2 linked regions of the Canis lupus familiaris genome follow. The protein of the gene in region 1 purifies or fractionates together with the protein of each later gene. This does not show direct contact. Links are inferred from orthologs where the notes say so. Each region holds a gene or a part of one and is shown on either strand. Other genes may lie near its edges. The genes, in order: ETV6 and LRP6.

The links.
Region 2: the proteins of ETV6 (region 1) and LRP6 purify together in Homo sapiens (affinity purification with mass spectrometry; 3 studies listed by BioGRID and IntAct, counting the BioPlex papers as one, with this or other methods). This does not show direct contact. The link is inferred for Canis lupus familiaris from reciprocal best matches to the Homo sapiens genes ETV6 and LRP6.

What each region holds. Positions count from the first base shown.
Region 1 is NC_049248.1:11,816,648-11,820,470, forward strand, and holds part of ETV6 (transcription factor ETV6), read left to right. Parts: intron 1-2,468; coding exon 2,469-2,611; intron 2,612-3,823. UniProt on the Homo sapiens protein: Transcriptional repressor; binds to the DNA sequence 5'-CCGGAAGT-3'. Plays a role in hematopoiesis and malignant transformation.
Region 2 is NC_049248.1:12,055,224-12,059,046, reverse strand, and holds part of LRP6 (low-density lipoprotein receptor-related protein 6), read left to right. Parts: intron 1-743; coding exon 744-970; intron 971-3,125; coding exon 3,126-3,310; intron 3,311-3,823. UniProt on the Homo sapiens protein: Component of the Wnt-Fzd-LRP5-LRP6 complex that triggers beta-catenin signaling through inducing aggregation of receptor-ligand complexes into ribosome-sized signalosomes.

The sequences.
Region 1 (3,823 bases):
GGGAAATTAAAATGTGTCTGCCATTTGATGGCAGGACAAAAACTGAATCCACATCTCAGTCCTCTGTTTTCCATTTGTAGTAAAGATGTCATGAGACAAGGAGTTGGCCAGGTGGGTTAAGACACGTTGCCGACCTCACTGCTTTGCCTAGCAACCAGAATTATCCTGCACCAGTTGCCTTAAAACTGAGCTAGATTCGGGGCAGCCCTGGTGGCGCAGCAGTTTAGCGCCACCTGCACCCCGAGGCGTGATCCTGGAGACCCTGGATCGAGTCCCACGTCGGGCTCTCTGCATGGAGCCTGCTTCTCCCTCTGCCTGTGTCACTGCCTCTCATTCTCTCTCTGTGTCTCTATGAATAAGTAAATAAAATCTTAAAAAAAAAAATGAGCTAGATTCTTCTCAGTTGTGCGATAGTGTAACACTGACTTCTCCAGGTGCTTTGTGGTGCTAGGGTTGGGGGTTCCCTGCTCTCTCCGTCTGGCTGGCAGGGGATAATAGAAGTGGCCGGCTGCTTCTGTCACCAGAATGGGGTTCAACTCCCAGAGTACGCGATGTCTGGGCTGCAAGAAGAGCACAGTTCGTCCTGTTCTAAAACACAGTAACTCACACATTCCGTTAATGTTTAGACACAGACAGTGGGCTGGGGGGTGGATCGGAGGCTACCCGTAGGAAGATTTATGGCCATTTTCATGTTAGTTTCTTGAAAGTGCCACATTTTATGCCAGTTCTTCTGCCATTCAGAGCAAAGGCTGGCTTTCACCACGATTGCACTACACAGAGTGAAACCTCGCCCTGGGAAGTCCTAAAACTTTACAAATACCTACCTGTTAACCAGCCTCTCTGGGAATAGAAATCACATCAGGAAGGGAGGCGGAGCACGGGCTTCAGAGCCGGGCAGAGGCTGCAGTCCTACGTGGGTCACTCTTGAGCTGTGCCCCCGGAGTAAATTACCAAACCCGGTAAGCCCCAGCTTCCTCGTCCATAAAATAGGAGTAGCAACAGCACCTGCCTCTCAGGGGGTCACCAGGGTCAAGTGTAGCGATGCTTGTGGAACACAAGCTCAGCGCCTGCCCCTAGCACCCAGTTAATGGCGTTGCTGTTGTGATTTTGTTGTGACCTTCATGACTTTCCCTTCACTCGCACTATCACTAATACAGTAATCCCGTCAAGGACACATTATTCCCATTTCAAATATGAGGAAAGAGAACTCAGAGAGATTTAAGAAGCTTGCCAAAGGTGACCTGACTCAATTCCCCCTTGTAAATATACTCCTTGGAAGGGTGTGTGTTTCTTTTCCTGGGAGGTGAATGTGTTGACTCTAAAATATTCCAGGCCTCGGTTAGACACTCCCCTCCCAGGTGGGCCGAGCCTCACCCAACAGAAGGCAGTCAGCGCACTGTGTGCCTGAGACCTGGAATTCAAAGCCCAGCCACCTTGGGCCTCCGAGGAGTAGAAAGGATGCAAGTAAAGTGCTAAGCGCATATATAGAATTCAGGGATTGATCATTCACTGCCAGGAGTTCTGGCTGGGGGCTGCCACGATCAACGGTGAACCCCTGGAAACCAGTGCCTCTTATTCTCATCTGGAGGCTGGTCCAGAAAGCACACCTGGATAGGACATGTCTGCCTCCGCCCACCTATCAAGGGAAGCTGGAGGGCAAACCACATACCGTTAGGGCACATCCAGAAAGCACTAGAACAAGGGAAAGGTGTGCAGCCTGTGTCTTCTCTTTTAATATGCCAACCCACCACCAAAAGCCAAGGAGGCCTAGCACAATGCCTGGCCTGTATTAACTCACTTAATAAACGCTTGTGGCCTGACCAGGTGATAGAACATTAGTCCTTCAAATGGGGAAAATTATTTTTTTTTTTTTGCCTTGAGTTCCTTTCTACCCTCATTTCATTATAAAAAAAACAATTTTAAAGAACTCCAAAATTAGCCGTAATGAGAAAATATCTGCCCTCTTGAAAACCACGCTAGCCACAACTCCCAGTCATCTGCAAACCACGTAGTTCTCTTTCCCGCAGCTGTGCACCCATCACACTTGTTTTTCTGCCGCTTGATAGCCTGCCCCAGTCTTCTCATCTTTGTGCGTAAAGCCTCCAACACCAGAGTGATCTTACAGGGCCACCAAGTATCCCACGCCGCTTGCCTGGAGCACTAGGGCTCTCTTCCCGCCCTTTGACTCTCTGACCCTGGCCTGGTTTTACCCCCTCTTTTGGCTTGCTCTCTTTCATGGGAACTCCACTCAAGTTCAAGTCATTGGTCATGACCTTGGTCAAAGGTCGCCCTTCTGCAGTACCATCTGCGGTCTCTCTGGGATCTGGTCTCCTCACTGTGAGATAAGAAAGTTGACCATCAGTCCACAGTAGGCTGAAGTGATTATTTGATGATTTTCTCATTCTGATTCTTGGTGCCTCAACAAGAAACCTAATTCTAAAGTGTTTTCTTGCCCTTTGCCTCTGTAGACTGTAGACTGCTTTGGGATTACGTCTATCAGTTGCTTTCTGACAGCCGGTACGAAAACTTCATCCGATGGGAGGACAAAGAATCCAAAATATTCCGGATAGTGGATCCCAATGGACTGGCTCGACTGTGGGGAAACCATAAGGTAAAAGGGCACCAGCTGTTTACTCTGCCAATGAGGGCCGAAGTAAAGCCCTTCTCTCTAGGTTGGAGGATAATTGCCTGGCTTCTGCCTCCTACATGTGCCCCTCATTATTTGGTTTATTCCTCATGGGGTGAGCAATTAGACAGTTGCAAAGAGAAGGAAATGATTAAAGATGCCACTTTCCATTTGTTACTTATGCCAGGTGCCACTTCACTTCACAACGTCTGGTCTGAAAGAGCTGCATTCAGAGCAGCCCTCCATCCCATCCCCTTGGCCTGGCCCTGACACTCACATGTCCTCAGGATCTAGGGTAACAGGGAAGCTCTGGGGAGCTCTGGGACTCATGAGGAAGCTGGGGAAGCATCACCTCTGTTCTGCTCAGTTAGAAACTCCCATGTCCACAGCAGCCCCTTTCTACATGGAAATGCTTACACTCGAACTCTGCAACATCCCCTTGAAAAGCAAACAGGCAAGAACTGTTTGCCCTATGCTTTTCTATGCTGGGAAGAGGAAATGGAACTTACAGGATATAATCTTTTATTTTTTTATTATTTTTTTTAAAGATTTTATTTATTTATTCATGAGAGACAGAGAGAGAGAGGCAGAGACATAGGCAGAGGAGAAGCAGACTCCCTGTGGGGAGTTGATGTGGGACTCGATTCCAGGACCCTGGGATCATGCCCTGAGCTGAAGGCAGACGCTCAACCATGAGCCACCAAGGTGCCCTGATATAATCTTTTACAGTTAGGAAAACTGTGAAAGCCCACAGATGTAAAAAGTACGTAAAACATCCTAAATGTCCGTTATGGATGACTGGATAAAGAAACAACAGTGTAACATACAGCGGAATATTACTCAGCCTTAAAGAGGAAAGAAAAAAAAAAAGAAAAAAAAAGAAGAAAAAAAAAATAAAAAATAAAGAGGAAAGAAATCCCATCTGTCACATGCTACAGCATGGAGGAATCTTGAGGACATTAAGCCAAGTGAAATAAGCCAATCACAGACAAATACTGCCTGCTTCCATTCACAGGAAGGATCTAAAGTGGGCAAATTCATTGAATCAAAAAGTGGAATGGTATTACCAGCGGCTGGGGAGCAGGGGCAAGGGGGATATACTAATCAATGGGCATAAGGTTTTCCCCATAAGCAAGATGAGGAAGCTCTAGAGATCTGCTATACAACATTGTACTTGTAATTAACACCACTCTAGTA
Region 2 (3,823 bases), about 240 kb from region 1:
ATTTGCAAATACCATGGGTATTGGAGCTAGAGTTGAATTCTAATGATCAGTAAAATCTATTAATTGAGTGAATAAATGAAGTAAATAAATATATTTTGGCTTGTATTGTATGGCCTTCTAAATTTCCTCATCTTGAAAATGGAGATAATACTTATCTTGCAGGGCTATTTTGAGGATTAAATGAGAAAATAAATGTATACAAAGTACTTAAGGCAATGCTTGCTAAGAAGTAGCAGCTATTATTACTTTAAATTTTGGGAGGATTCAGAGTTACAGTGGTAATAATGTGATAATGGTTATATACATTTTATAATGGATAAAGTTGTTGGGATATTTTCAGATTGACATGATGACATGGCATACTCTCAAGAACCTTCAGGAAGCTGACTACCAGTTATGAGTCTACAACATTCTGGTCATATCTTTTTTTTCACTTGATTACTAATAGATTACTAATAGATTTTGAAGGCAAAATCATTCTACTGTCTTACTGGAATAAATTTTTGATCCTTAAGAATTACAAAAATTTCTCCCTGGCTTTGATAGTAAAACTTGAGGTCACAGTTGAATTTATTAGAGATTGACATCAGGTTTTTTCTGTGCTTGTAAAATATGTGAATTAAGAAACTATACCTCTGGCTCTTCTGAATCCTCCCAACCAGCAAAAACCAAAACAAATACTCTTTCTGGATGGTGTTTTGTACTTAAGCCTTGTGATTCGGTTGTTACTGTTATTTTTGCAGACCATCAGCAGAGCCTTTATGAATGGCAGTGCACTGGAACATGTGGTAGAATTCGGCTTGGATTACCCAGAAGGCATGGCAGTAGACTGGCTCGGAAAGAACTTGTACTGGGCTGACACAGGAACGAATCGAATTGAGGTGTCAAAGCTAGACGGGCAGCACCGACAGGTTTTGGTGTGGAAAGACCTAGATAGTCCCAGAGCTCTTGCACTGGACCCTGCTGAAGGGTAAACAACTTTGATGCATGCATTTTTTGCAACTATACATGGCCTGGTTATGCATTATATCTTTGATGTCTTAAGTAGTGCTTATTTAGGACTCTAATAACTAAACCATAGGTAGTAGGCTTTATTTTAAAACCCATTAGTTGAGGGGCACCTGGGTGGCTCATTCAGTTAAGCGTCTGACTCTTGATTTTGGCTCACGTCATGATCTGAGGGTTGTGAGATCAAACCCCACTTTGGGCTCTGCGCTCAACATGGAGTCTGCTTGAGATTCTCTTTCTCTTTTCTCCCTCCCCCTCCCCCTGGTTGCACTTGTGCACTCACTGTCTCTCTCTAAAATAAACAGAATCTTTAAAACCCATTAGTGGAGATTTCACTGATTTAGAATTACTTATTAGCTAAATTTTACTTTTGTCATTATTAACATTAGGTAGAGAAAGATTAGTGAAATGGATTAGTGTTTTAAATTACCCGGCATACTTATATGCTAATAAACAGCCTTTCTGAAGATATCAAGTTTGCATTTGCTTGCATACTCTCTCAGGTTAAACCAGATTCCAAAACCCACTGAAATAATTCCATATACTAAGAATTAGTTGTATTTTAAAAAGCTCCATTTTAGAATATTCATTGATTCAAAATGGACAATTAGTTTGATCATGTTTAGAAGCTTAGAGAAACTTTGATATTAAATAGTAAACTTTTCAATAAATAAATAGTTGTTTATTTATAACATGACATTGTGTTTCAAGGATAAGTGATCCTCTGACATGATTTAGCAAGTTTTAGAAAGCCAACAGCTAAGAAATCTGAAATTTGAAGAATAATTCCACTTTCAAAAGCAGAAGTTAACAATGAGAACATATAAGCATATTTACCATATCTGTAGTTTAAAAAGTTTCTTTGAAATCACATTAATTGCATTATCAGCTAGTTACCATCTAGTTAGAAGGCCATAGCAAAGAAAGTTCTTTGTGCTGACATGTTGTGATTGGATTACGGTGATCTTGATTCCAAGCATGAGTTACCAGATAGATAACTTCAATAGTTGAGACTAAGGACTCTAGTTTATGGCAACTGACATTTCTCTCACAGTTGTTTCTCCTTGCTTCTTGTGTGCACATGCCTGTCACCTGACAAATGTGAATACAGAGTGAGCCCAGGACTAATTTTAATTTTCAGAAGTGTGTTCATGCATTGTTACCAAGTCAGCCATCAGCTGACAAGCTAATGAGTAAATGTCTGTACTCAGATACTTGATGAGAGTTGGCATGTGAAGTGCTTTCCTAGTCCCCATATTCAGAATGTCTCAGAACTAGTTACTAGTTTAATTGAAAAAGCCTTTAGCTAAGGATTAGTTTCTAGTTCTCACTCTGCCACGTGACTGAGTTGAAGAAATGAGATCATTCACATTTCTTTTATTGCTTTGGCCTCTTTACATCTGTAAAAAGCCTATACTATGGGGCTGCTCTAAGTATAATGTGGAAAACTTGAAAAAATAAAACAAAAGCAAGAGAGCGTTTTAAAATTTCACAGGGATTATAGTAGTAGTGTCACTGCCCAGCTGACTTGATAAAGGGTGATTCATTGCTTTTATACATATAGTATGTATCCTTACACTGTGTGACCAAATGCATTTCAAATTTTGCTTTTTAACTTCATTTAAAGGCTATTAAGTTTTACCTTTGATGTACTCCTGCAACTTGTTTTTGGGGAGAGTGATTATGCAAGTCAAAAAAGAAGTCTAAAAATTTGAAAACTCAAATTACTTGTGTTTGGAAAAATATAAAAAGAAAATATTCAGAAATGAAATCAGATTCTGAGCTTAGAGCTTTAATTTTTTGGTATCTTGAATATTAGATTTATAAATGCAAGAGCTGCAGTAAGGAAATCATTGGTTTGTTTCCAGTTTCTGGGTTTTGGATGGAACAAATTCATTGGAAAGACTAAAGAAAGCTGACTCACTTCCTTTTTAGGATATGAGAAAAAAAATATTTTGTTGAGGGTGCCAAAATAATTGAAAAAATTATAACCATGATTCTGTTTTATCAATTTCTTTGATTTAATGTATATTTTCTTTAGTTATTATGCATGAATATGACCCTTTCTCCCAAATAATCAAAAGTGAAATGCTAAATATCTGTTGTTTTGAATTTAGATTTATGTATTGGACTGAATGGGGTGGAAAACCTAAGATAGACAGAGCTGCCATGGATGGAAGTGAACGTACTACATTAGTTCCAAATGTGGGGCGGGCAAATGGCCTAACTATTGATTATGCTAAAAGGAGGCTTTATTGGACAGACCTGGACACTAACTTAATAGAATCTTCGAATATGCTTGGTAAGCTGTACTTCTTTTTATTCAGGCAGATAGTATGTTCTTTCTGTGTAAAAATCTGTGGCTGCTCTTTACCATTGGTTAGGACTATTAATAGAACATCATATGAATGTCTAGATTCTTCCTCTGTCTCTTATTGTGTCCTGTTTATTATTGTTAATAGTGGGCCAGGTACTTGGATTCGCATCTCTTTATTTTGTGGAAATTTTATTATTATTGGGCTTGTAATAGAATTTATAACTCCCTAGATATTCCTGAAGTGACTTTTTGTACTAGTAAAATAAGTATATTCATTTCCATCTTTTTATTGAAGGAAGAAGAAAAGTTCAACTTGTAGACCCTTATGGAGAAAAGTAAGACTGTAGTCAAAATAGACCATTTGTAGAAGTTTTAACAAACTCAGTGATTTATAGCAAGAATATAAGTTTGAATCATGGGGTCAGACTGCAGATAGATTGATTTCAGAGGACTGGTCTGGTTTTTAAATTGCTTTTAAATAAAATGTTCTATTTTAAA